Arabidopsis thaliana: one gene and its partner. The protein of the gene in region 1 interacts with the protein of each later gene in a biochemical or structural test. Each region holds a gene or a part of one and is shown in the gene's direction. Other genes may lie near its edges.

Region 1 (8,249 bases):
ATAGGCATGACAAAATCTTATTGACCACCTTAATTAAGAATTTTTTTTGGTGTATGGTATATAAGATTTTAGTAAGAATGATATATATATATATATATATTAAATTTTATTTTATTTATGGTTTAGTCCTTAAAACTCAATGCTAATAACTAAAGTAGAAAATAATATTTTTTGTCCTCAAATTTGTTTAGTTATGAGTTGTATATATAATAGTTCACATCACATGAAAAGAATTTTGTTTTAGTTCTGAGTTGAATATGTAATAGTCCACATTACATGTAAGTGAACAAAACTAACTTAAAAAGATGTTCATAACTAACTGTTACTTATAAGTAATCATAAAATATCTAGTTTGTGCTTAGATAAAAACAATCAAATTCTTGTATTTATTAACGAACGAGTTATATTGCGTATTACTTTTAACTTAAAGGGATTGACCTGCACATTTTGGAGATAAGGGTTAAGATGCGAAAAATGACAAGTTGGAGGGTCTTTTTTTATGTTCTTTTTGCAAAAACCCCTAAAAACACGGGCTTTTAGGTGTATAAAACGAGGCGATTAGATAATAAAATGCATTCCAACAACTTCTAGATTTCTTTCACATTCACCAAACTTTCTACAGTCAAATTCGATTATGTCTCTTCTCAACGCACAAGAACTACATGTTTTCCATGCTCAAGACAGAGAGATATTCTCTAAATTGGTCCTCAAATTCTCAAGGCCTCCAGCTGAGTCACTTCTTGTCATGGCCACATGGCTTTGGCTCGAGGACTTTGGCTTTGAAAACATTTTCTCAATCATCCTCACTCTCACAGATCCACTCATTGCCGGTCTTGCTTACGAAGCTGTCTCATGCTTTCAGTGCCTTTCTTTAAACAATCCCCCAATTGGCCGAATCCCTCTCACCACAAAATATCTGAAAAAGAATATATCACTCCAAATGATCTACAAAAATCGATATAGTGCTATCACAGGAATCAAAAACTTCTTAACCACTGTTTGTACCAGAATCTTCACCGACATCCTTCTACGAGTTCTTCCACCTTCTTCAATGTCTTCCTTTGACGCAAGACTTCGCCAACCTCTTCAAATCCCCGGGTTCCCTCATCCGATTTTTGGAAGCATCAATGTGATGCCTAATGAAGTTGATAGGGATAATTTCTCCAACAAGAACAACAACTTATTTTTCATCCCAAATGGTCTATGGGGCTGGAACGCTAATTGCATCGCCACTGAGAACGATCGGACCTTGTTTTTAACATTTTCTCGTGGTTATCCAGTGACTCATGCTGAGATAATTGAGCTCTTTACCAAGGAGTATGGAGAAAATTGTGTTGAGGGAGTTTACATGCAACATGACAACAAAAGATCTTTCAATGCAAACGCAAATAGGAGCTGCGAGCAACAATCACTATTTGCGAGGCTTGTCTTGGACTCGGTTACTACCGTGGACCGCGTACTCGATGACGAGCAGAAAAAAGAGCTTATGATTTACGGAAAGAACATTTGGGCTCGTAAGTATGATAAGAGGGAGTGAGGGACAAACTTACCTAATTGATCGATCAAAGCTAAAAGAAGATTTTATTTTTCGTTTCGACACATTTGTAATTGTAATGTTAAAATTATTTATCTTATGTTGTAGTCTATATATAATTATTAAAGATCATATGTAAGCCCAACCACGTTTGGCTGCTTCAATTTGAAGGGATTATAAAAGATGTTACACTTGTTAGCAATATAGAACTTTTTGATAAAAAAGAAATAGGAGCGAGTACTTTAAACCAAGAAAATATACTACATCATTAGAACCTCAAAATCGGTTTACACTAATCCAAACTAAACCAAGCTTCTAATCACTCGTATCTCTCTCAAATACGAACCAATCGTGCAACTAGTAGTCACAAGCATCATACTCTAAAACAAATAATATTTCTTTCATATAGTTTTATTTTAAATATATTTATTTGCTGAGATTAGTTTTTTTTTTTTTTTTTTTTTTTGGATGCTTTCTAACATTATGTGATTTCTCATTTCGTGCCTCTTCTTCTTCACCACCAGCATCAAATTAGGGTTTTTTTTTTTTTTTCCAGGCGAGTTTTTTTGACGAGTGCTCTAAGATTTAGTGATTGAGTTTCGCTCTGATAAGAGATCTAATTAGCTCGTCTTCTTCTTCTTCTTCTTCTTCTTCATCATCATCCTCACCATGTTTTGGAAGTTGACTGCTCTCTCTGCTGCTTCACCGGTGAGTATACAAAGTCTTCTCTACTCATGAATTCGTACTTAGTATCGTTTTATTCTGAATCGATTGTTTCTTTCTGAATCTGCTTTGTTCTTACGCAAAGTGAAGATTTCTGAAATGTTTTAGATTTCGTTTGTTATTGAACTGATTGATTTCGCCTGTAAATTAATTGTGTGGAGGTTAATTGTTTCGATACTGATACTGAATTTGATTTCGGATGTTATTTACTGCTTCGAATTTGTTGTTTTCTTCACGCCACTGTTATTGTGTATCATTGATTTTTGTCTTCCAATAGTTTCATAGTCATGGTGATGTTTGGTTCGTGTGGTTTCATTGTTCAATATAGTGGCGGGAGCTAGAATTTGTAATCATCTCTTATAAACTTCATTTGTAATTGATGTTTTGATGGAAATTGTTCTTGGAAGCTGGTAATGTGTAGTTTAGAGAAGAGAGAAACTAAATAGGAATGATGTAGTTCCTTATCTTTTACTTGCGATTGACAGGTTGAATCCATATTAGACAAGGAAGATTTCACTTTGGAAGAACTTTTGGATGAGGAAGACATAATCCAAGAATGCAGAGCTTTGAACAGCCGGCTCATAAATTTGTAATTCATTTTAGGCGTCCTCTTTTTTTAACCTTGTTGTAGTTTATGTGTAGATTTGGTATGCTTTTTAGTTTGTACTATGACATGTGTCTTCTCTCTATATTAACCATTCCTTAAAAAGATTGAAGAGGATATGCAATCCAGCAGATATTGCACGAAAAGTAGTTAGATTCATGTTTTCTTTGCAGGATGACCCTGTTATGCTATGCAAGTTTTAGTTTCTCATAGTAGTAGCAAGGATTGCAATGTTGGCCTTTTATGCTTTTATTTTATATGCTCATTTGCAGTCTGAGAGAAAGAGCCCAAGTGGAACAGTTATTACGTTTTATTGTTGAAGAATCTCCTGAAGATGCAGACAGCAAGCGCGCTTTCAAGTATGTGCCTCCTTTCTTTTGCTGATTAGCTTTATCCAGACGTACAGTTGACCTGATTTTTTGGAATATTTCTGGGAACTTTCATGAACTTTAAAGCATATTTTTCTATTAGGTTTCCTTTCATCTCCTCTGAAGTCTTGACCTGTGAAATTGATGTAATTCTCAAGACTTTAGTGGACGAGGAGGAGGTATTGTCCTAGTTTTCTTCTTCCTTTATTATGATGAATGCAGAACCTTGTTATTTTGAGTTAGATGTGTCTTTTACTCTGGTCTCACTTAATGGTTCATACTTCTTGTTGCAGCTAATGAACCTACTTTTCTCCTTTTTGGAACCCAACCGTTCCCACAGTGTAATGCTAGCTGGGTATTTCAGCAAGGTAATGTTTTCATTGGTCACTTTCAATAGTTCATTTTAGAATTTTAGTTCTTACTTTTTAGATATTATGTCTCCACATGTTTGTTACTTACCACCAATGTATCTTGTCTCTTCTGGGAATAGGTTGTCATATGCCTCATGTTGAGGAAGACGGTCCCGCTGATGAACTATGTAAAAGTGAGTTCTCTATTTGGATGTTCATTTGAAAATCTTGCAAATAGCACAACGATCATGCGAAGCTCTGATTGAAAATAAAATTTGTGTGGCAGAAAGCATATTAAGTGGGATGTTCCCAGTCCTTGTAATTTTTTGTGCTCAATAAATTTTTCTTCGACCTACTGTTAATGATAATTATACTATGTCGATATAAATGACGTTGTGGTTTAGGTAGAAAATCCTTGAATAGTTTGACATATTATTGAGGTGCACCTTTTTTTTTTTATACTTGTTACTCAGTGAATTATGTGGTGTGCAGTCAATAGAAAAGAAGCAAATAATGTTTTACAATACCATATACAGGCCCATCAGAATGTTTTCCAGCAACTGGTTGATTTGATAGGGATCACGTCCATTATGGAGGTAAACCTTCTCTCTCCTCTTATCCTTATATTTGATTCTGGTAATCACTTGTAAGCTTATGCATGTGATTTATATAGGTTCTTATCCGGTTGGTTGGTGCGGATGATCATGTGTATCCTAACCACCTAGATGTGATGCAATGGTTAGCTGATAGCAATCTGCTTGAAATGATTGTGGATAAGCTTAGCCCATCAGTAAGTAATTTGTTAAAGCGTCTATTCATCAAATGATTGAAATATAGGAAGAATGAGCTTTTTTGAGCCACTTCTGTTCTTCTCGTTATTATTGTTTTACTATTAACTGGGATCTGTTGGTTCTTCATGTCGAAAAAGCACATTGTTTTACCTTTATAAGACAAGAGACTAGTAGAGAATAGTTGGAGAGACTCTCCTGCATTTGCCATCTCTGTTTTATTCGTGATGCGGTTTTTGATTCCCTACTACCAAATTCGTAAATGTAGTGTTGAGAGGCTTCTCTGCATGTGTGGTTATTATTTCGGTCAAACAATAAGACTTACATTTTCTAATTTTGAATAGTTCAGATATGAATATTCTGAAAGTTTTGTTTTTATTTTTGGCTTGGATCAGAACTCTCTTGAAGTTCATGCAAATGCTGCTGAAACACTGTGCACTATCGCTCAAAATGCACCGTCACCGTTGGCTACCAAACTTTCTAGTTCAAGGTTTGTAGGATGTCTTATTGTCTTAAATATGCTAAAACATGTTTAAATTGTATGATGATTCAGTGACCTTTTTGTTTGCAGTTTTGTTGCAAGGATATTTGGTCATGCTTTCGAAGATCCTCAGTCCAAATCTAGCCTTGTCCACACACTTTCGGTGTGCATTTCATTGTTGAGCCCAAGAAGATCTGTAGTTTCTTCCCCCTTTATGTATTCATTCAGGGGACAACAAATCTTCGAGTCTCCAATTTCTGTGAATCCGGAGACTATTGCCACCATGCTGCCTAGACTTGGTCAGTGTAACAAAATGACACATTGTGTTCTGTACATGAGTGCATATGATCATATCATTCTTGTTTTTGCTGCTGAATATTTTTCATCAGAACACTTGTATTAGCTCTTTTACTGATTGCTAGGATTCGATTCTATCTTTTTGGTTCATCCTAACATTGATTAATGTCTGATTCTGTACTGTCAATAAATGTTTGCAAATCAATGATTATCTTCTACTTTATTATTGTATTGCTGCAATTTCGTGCATCATTCCATTTTCTTAATAGTAGTTTCTGCGTATATTATTTGATCTTTCTAGCTGGATATATTTCAGCTTTCATTCTTGTTGAACATATATAATTTAAAATTTGACTCCACTTCTTTATGTGATTGGACCACTGACTTGAATTTCGTACCTGGCTTTCATCTGTGGTGCAGGTGACTTTGTCGCACTTTTAAATGTGACCTCTGATGAAAAGATTTTACCTACAACCTATGGGCAGTTGAGGCCTCCTCTTGGCAGTCATCGTCTGAAGGTCAGGTTTCATTTTGAAATTTTAGTTATTGTCAACTGGAAGATGGTTTAGTTATAAGGTGGATCTTGGATCTACACATATACTCTTGTGTGTGTTTTCTGTTGTGTAATATTATTCTGATTTCGTTTTTGTTGCTGATGGCTTGCTTAGATTGTGGAGTTCATTGCTGTCTTGCTGAAAACTCGAAGTGAAGCAACAGGAAAAGAACTAGCTAGCTCAGGAGCTATTAGAAGAGTCCTTGATCTGTTCTTTGAGTAAATACACTCCACTCCCTGGATCGATTACAAAATTTTAAATTCTTTGTTATTCCGCGCTTGGCTAAATTCATCTTTCAATTGTTCATTCCAACTATGCAGGTACCCGTATAATAATGCTCTGCATCATCAGGTGGAGAGTATAATTTTATCGTGTTTAGAAAGCAAGAACGATGAGATAGTTGACCATCTTCTCCGAGAGTGTGATTTGATTGGAAAAATTATTAAAACAGAGAAACAGCCAATTCTTTCTGGTGATAAGCAGGTATGAATTGTTTTGCGCATGCTTATGAGTAAAGTTTGTCTAGAGAGATAATACACAATTTACCATGTTCTGTGAGACATGATGTTGAACTACTTCTGTCATCAGTTCTGTGAGGCAAGATTTGGATTCTGTGGTTTGCAAAGCAATTATAGTTATCGTTATACCTTCTTTTTGTTTTTAAAATCAGATTCAGAAATGGCCTGTTATATCCACTTCTCGACTTTTCTTAAGGATAAGGTGTACTGAGTTATAGATATAATTGATTCTGCTTTCATGCAGCCAACATTAGCTGCTGCTGGAAAGCAGGCTCCACGGGTGGGGAATGTTGGTCATATCTCAAGAATCTCAAACAAGCTTGTTCAGCTGTCAACTAACAGTAACCAGATAAAGACTTTACTTGAGGTTCGTTTTTCAGTAACAGTAACCTTTTATTGTAACAATGATTGCAGATTTACTGTTATCTGCAGTATACCATCTTTCTACATAAATTGATTTGAGTTGTGATTATTGGTGTTTGTCAATATCTACTCTATTGTATCACTCTGTTATGTACTCGTTGGAGTAAAAACAGTGTAAATTACTTTGTATTCTCTTTACAGAACCCATCAAGATGTGTCCATAATGAAATATCCTATGTCTAACTAATTTTCTTTCTAATATTTAGGCATGGTTTTACGTCAAATGTTGTGTACGTGTATAGCTGCATTTTGTTTGGTACATACAACATTCTGATACGTTCTGTTTTTCTTTGTTAGGAAAATAACGATTGGGGTGAGTGGGAAGCTAATACGTTGCATGATCGAAATGCAGTTGAGAATGTGTATCGCTGGGTTTGCGGGTACACCTCTGATCAAACATTTATGGCTTCTTGTCACACTATTGATGCAACTATCAGTCGAGTATTTACACTTTCAGAATATATTTGCTAGGTTGTCTTAGTAAAAGCATAGAAATATAATAGGAAACTTGGTCCAAACACTTTCAGGTTTGACAATAGTTGGCACAGTATCTAGTTCCGATTTTGTCTCTTAATGATAATTCACTTTATATCGCATGCAGACGCCCGACTGCATTACATGATAGGACTAGGGACAGTGATGATGACGAAGTCCATGATAGGGATTATGATCTTGCTGGTTTAGCTAATAACTTGAACCAGTTCAGATACAACATGCAAGAGAACAATGGTGCTGGAGAGGTAGTTGTTAATCTCTCTGATTTATTTCTTAAAATTTTGGCTGAATCTAAATTCCATGTTTCTCGTTCCAGGAGCATGGTTCTAATGACAGAGATGAAGAGGTATTCATTATAGTTATATATTATGTTCTACGTTTATAGAAAACATCGTCTACAACAGACCTGACTGTAACATATTCTGTAGGATGTCTATTTTGATGATGAATCTGCTGAAGTTGTTATATCATCTCTAAGGCTTGGTGATGAACAAGCGAAGTAAGCTTTCAGGGCTAGTTTATCAAATCCATGTATTAGGTAGAAAAGAACAAAGGGCTCCAAAAACCAATGAAATGTTTTTTTCTTGATGCAGCAATTTATTCACCAACTCGAACTGGTTCACGTTCCAAGGAGATGAATTAGGCGAAAACACAGGAACAGGAGCGATTTCTTCCGAGGAAGCAATGGAAGATGTAAGCTTGAATGAAACTTCCGATGGCGGAGATGAAGAAGACGAAGACGAAGACTGTTTGATTACAGAAAGCAAGAACCCTTTTGTTGACTCAACTGCAGCCACAGCCTCAACCTCAGAAGCAGTCTCTGTAGACGCTGATATCGAGATTGATGAAGATGTGGGTACAGATGAATTGTCACCTGAATGGGTTGAACGTAATGATTCATCTTCAGCCATTGCACCGGGAAGTACAGATGATGTGAAGATGCCTGATGTGAGAATCCCAAACGGTTCTTCATCCTCAGAAGGTGAGATTAGCCCGAGATCACCGCCTGTACCTTCATTGTTTGGAAAAGATGTTGAGTTTGTGGGAGTTGAGCCAGAAGGAACTGAAAGGGCAATGGATCAAGCTCTCAAGGAAGGCATAGTGGGAGAAGCAG
Region 2 (4,018 bases), on another chromosome or scaffold:
AACAAAGAAGCTAGAGCTCCAGTTAGTAATTTTAGCTTCCCAACTCTAAACGAAACTTCACAATTATCAGAAAATCCCAAGAATCCGGTTTTGAATCATATTAAACCGGTACGAATTGAACCGGCTCTGCTTCCGATTAAACCGGTTCTGAATCCTACGAGTCCCAAGGGAGTCATCATAGACGAAGAAGCCACAAGCGACGCAAGCTCCGATCTTTTTGAGATAGAGAGCTTCTCTACTCAAACCGCAGCTCGTCCATGGGCTCCACCAGTACGGGACTCGATGGAAGAGACCGTGTCTGAGTACGGTTACGAGCCAAGCGAAGCAAGTGTTACTTGGAGCGTTATGACCGCCGAGCCGGCCTCGGCCGTTGCAGCTAACTTCTCAAGAATTGCCTTGTCGTCATCGTCTACAGCATTTAGTGGTTACGATAAGAAGAGAACCGGTTTGTTGAACTGTCATTGTGAGAAGGCGGTTATGGTTAACGGCGATAAGCGTTTAGTGCAACCGGTTAAGAGCGTTGGTGTTCAAAACGACGTCGCGGGAAAGGTGTTGTGCAACAATGGCAGTTCTAAACTAAGCGTGACGAGTAGACCAAGGCAATGATGGATACCAAATCTTTGTTCTTGGTTTAGATCCGGTTTTCTCCAGTTATCTTGGTGTGTTTTGGATGCTTCTCGTGTAAAATTGCTCTGTTTTTTCTTCTTCTTTTTTTTGGTTAATATAACTTGTGTAATGATTAATGAAGATTATGGTTTGTGAAGTAAACAAAATCAATGTGTCCTGTATTTATCACAATATTGATCACATTTTTTTGTAATAACCGGAGTAAATCCCGGAGTGAAACCCAAACTAATCCTCAATACTTGTATGTTGTATTTAAGGCGTCTATAGTCAAGAAATAGATTCGTAGCCTTGACCCACATAGCGAATCCTCTATCCACTCGAACAAACCAATGGACCACAAAACACTTGGTTATACGATTTCTTTCTTTAGAAACCTCATCCACTACTTCTTTGAGGTCCCATGGAAACATCAATCTTCAAAGATTGTAGGCGGGCTGAATTGAGCAAAAGAAGATGCCCCATGTGTCTTTGTTGTAGGTACATTCAGAAAACAAGTGGTTCTTGGATTCAGGTGCATTACAGAGGAGACAAAAATTTCAAGAATATTCATGCCCCAATTCCTTAATCTATCACGAGTTGGGAACTTGGGAGATGATTCCAAGCCGTTACCCAAGAGATAATAAATGCATGCATAGGAATATAAACAACTTTATGCAATAAACAGACTGTAGTATTGGTCATCGATTTAGTTTTGTTTATTTGTTAAAAACATAATCCAGCATGTGTTTTTATCACATAAAACCAAAAAGAAAAATTCTCAGTTGATGAAGACGTTTAATTTCTGATTAGTCTTTCGTTTACTAAAAGCTTTATCTTTTAATTTGAATGCTTTTTATTTTGTTAAAGAGTTTACCATTGAAAGTTTGATTTCTTTTTTGGGGATATAACTTGTAAATATGAAGTCAAGAGTTAGGCTCGTAGGTGAAGTGAAGATGGTGCTAATAGCATAAATGGTTCGTCTCAAAAAGACTTTTCCGTTGCGTGCACGAAGTATATAGACGGTCCTTTAGGATTAAGGCAAATTATAGTTTGGTCAATTGACATTATTTTCAACAATGTATACGTTATATACATTCGTATATCATAGCATTTAAAGTTAATTAGCTCCTCTCTTCCCTTAGATAGCTAGATGGATTAGGTCTAAATATTTGGGAAAATGACTTCCCTTTTGAAGTTACGTATATATCCAAGTTAACCAAATTAATCATGAATCCATGACTTAGGATTAATTATGTCTTTCTCAAAAGTCTGATTTAAGGTTTAGTTTCTTGCTTGAAAGCATTAATAAGTCAAGAGTAAGCCATTAAAAAATGTTCCATAGCTTAAAAGCAAACTAGACTTGAAAATATAAATACTAATATCGTATGTAACTTGAACTTCACTACACGAAACCTCAATCATAAATACACATTAGCTCCAAAACCACAACACTGCACATGAAAACTAAACACACGTACACAAGAAACCCCAAAACATTTTGCCTAGAAAGTTGTTTAAATTACCTCTTAAACCTTAAGAAATCATATCCAGAAACTCAATGGATCAACAAGGGATGGTCAAGAAAAGACTAGCCGTTCTCGTCGGCTGCAACTACCCTAACACAAGGAACGAGCTTCACGGTTGCATCAATGATGTTCTAGCCATGAAAGAAACTATTTTGTCACGTTTCGGATTCAAACAAGACGACATTGAGGTGCTAACGGACGAGCCAGAATCAAAGGTAAAGCCGACAGGTGCCAACATCAAGGCTGCTCTACGTAGGATGGTGGATAAAGCTCAAGCCGGATCTGGAGACATCTTGTTCTTCCACTACAGTGGCCATGGAACTCGTATTCCTTCGGTTAAATCTGCTCATCCTTTTAAACAAGACGAAGCTATTGTTCCTTGTGATTTCAATCTCATCACAGATGTTGATTTCCGAGAATTGGTCAATCAACTTCCTAAAGGAACAAGCTTTACCATGATCTCTGATTCTTGCCATAGTGGTGGTCTCATCGACAAGGAGAAAGAACAGATCGGACCCTCTTCGGTCTCCAGCAACATATCTCCGGCTATTGAGACAACGAACAAGACTATAACATCACGTGCCTTGCCCTTCAAGGCAGTCCTTGACCACTTGAGTTCTCTCACCGGAATTACAACTTCCGACATCGGCACACATCTACTTGAGCTCTTTGGCCGCGATGCTGGTCTTAAGTTTCGGTTACCGGCAATGGATCTAATGGATCTTTTGGAGACTATGACGGCCCGTGAAAAACACGTGGACTCAGGGATATTGATGAGCGGGTGTCAGGCGGATGAGACGTCTGCTGACGTCGGCGTTGGGAACGGGAAAGCGTACGGAGCGTTTAGCAACGCGATTCAAAGGGTGTTGAACGAAAATGAAGGTGCCATGAAGAACAAGCAACTAGTGATGATGGCAAGGGATGTGCTTGAGAGACTAGGGTTTCATCAACACCCTTGTCTCTACTGCAGCGACCAGAACGCAGACGCGACGTTCCTTTCTCAACCTTGAATTTTAAACGTTTGCGTTGTTTTCTTTTATTTGTTTTATCACGTTTGCCTTTGGGGTTGTTGTAAATTGTTAACTGGTGGAATGTGTGTATTTTCTATTCTCTGTGGTGTACTCTAAAAGGAAAAAGGACATATAAAACTTGTTTAATAACATTTATCTTTTTTAATGGTACAAAAAGGTTTAATTAAAGCTTTTCTAGAGAATGTACTAATTTAGTTACCAAGTCAGCAGTATTGGAGCTAGAAGAACCAACCTCTTGGGTTGAAGAAATGGCAGCACCAGTCATTTTGTGCTGCCATTTTTCAGTAGGTCCCCACAAGAGTTTAACCCTCTGGCCTTTGATGTCAGTCCAGGAGGAGAGCTCAAGCATGGCCTTCTCAGCAGCTAGACGGGTAGTGTAAGTGAGGAAGGCACAGGTGCCTCCTCCTCGGTGGGGGAAGATAACAATAGATTCGATTTCACCATAGGGGCAGAAATGGTCTCGGATGTCCTGCTCGAGGACACTGGAGTTAATAAGTCTACGGATGTAAAGAGTTTTAATACTTTGATCCTCTGGTGGTTTCAAAGGGCCCGTGTTACAAGCTCTTGCAAGCACCTCGAGTACAAATGGGTTTTCTAACCTGCGGTGAAGAAAAATACATGAAACACACAAACAAACAAAGACTCGAGAATATATATACATCTATATATGTATGTAGAATAGCTTACCCAGAACGACCATGACAATCTAAGCCTCTGTTGATCTCATGGCGGTATAGACACATGGTACCTCTTGTACACTGGCGACCAGCGTCGAATAAAGGACAAATTGGTATGCAGTCTAGTTTCCTACTTTTATCCTCAATTTGGGCCATAAAAAACTACATTGAAGACAAA

What was found.
Region 2: of the proteins of AT3G45190 (region 1) and MC9, one has a biochemical effect on the other in vitro, tested with the Arabidopsis thaliana proteins (one large-scale study listed by BioGRID).

What each region holds. Positions count from the first base shown.
Region 1 is NC_003074.8:16,542,116-16,550,364, reverse strand, and holds the start of AT3G45190 (SIT4 phosphatase-associated family protein), read left to right. Parts: upstream 1-1,997; 5' UTR 1,998-2,203; coding exon 2,204-2,242; intron 2,243-2,742; coding exon 2,743-2,846; exon of another isoform or gene 2,847-3,104; coding exon of another isoform or gene 3,105-3,133; coding exon 3,134-3,220; intron 3,221-3,332; coding exon 3,333-3,408; intron 3,409-3,522; coding exon 3,523-3,597; intron 3,598-3,719; coding exon 3,720-3,773; intron 3,774-4,115; coding exon 4,116-4,175; intron 4,176-4,252; coding exon 4,253-4,369; intron 4,370-4,762; coding exon 4,763-4,857; intron 4,858-4,938; coding exon 4,939-5,147; intron 5,148-5,565; coding exon 5,566-5,663; intron 5,664-5,813; coding exon 5,814-5,917; intron 5,918-6,019; coding exon 6,020-6,182; intron 6,183-6,461; coding exon 6,462-6,584; intron 6,585-6,937; coding exon 6,938-7,020; intron 7,021-7,241; coding exon 7,242-7,380; intron 7,381-7,451; coding exon 7,452-7,481; intron 7,482-7,563; coding exon 7,564-7,634; intron 7,635-7,728; coding exon 7,729-8,249. Other genes in the region: AT3G45200 (uncharacterized protein), read left to right, coding at 635-1,537.
Region 2 is NC_003076.8:1,151,729-1,155,746, forward strand, and holds MC9 (metacaspase 9), read left to right. Parts: upstream 1-2,011; 5' UTR 2,012-2,164; coding exon 2,165-3,142; 3' UTR 3,143-3,312; downstream 3,313-4,018. Other genes in the region: PKS4 (phytochrome kinase substrate 4), read left to right, coding at 1-606; AT5G04210 (CCCH-type zinc fingerfamily protein with RNA-binding domain-containing protein), read right to left, coding at 3,327-3,762, 3,851-3,996. UniProt on the Arabidopsis thaliana protein: Cysteine protease that cleaves specifically after arginine or lysine residues. Does not cleave caspase-specific substrates. Required for proteolytic processing of GRI.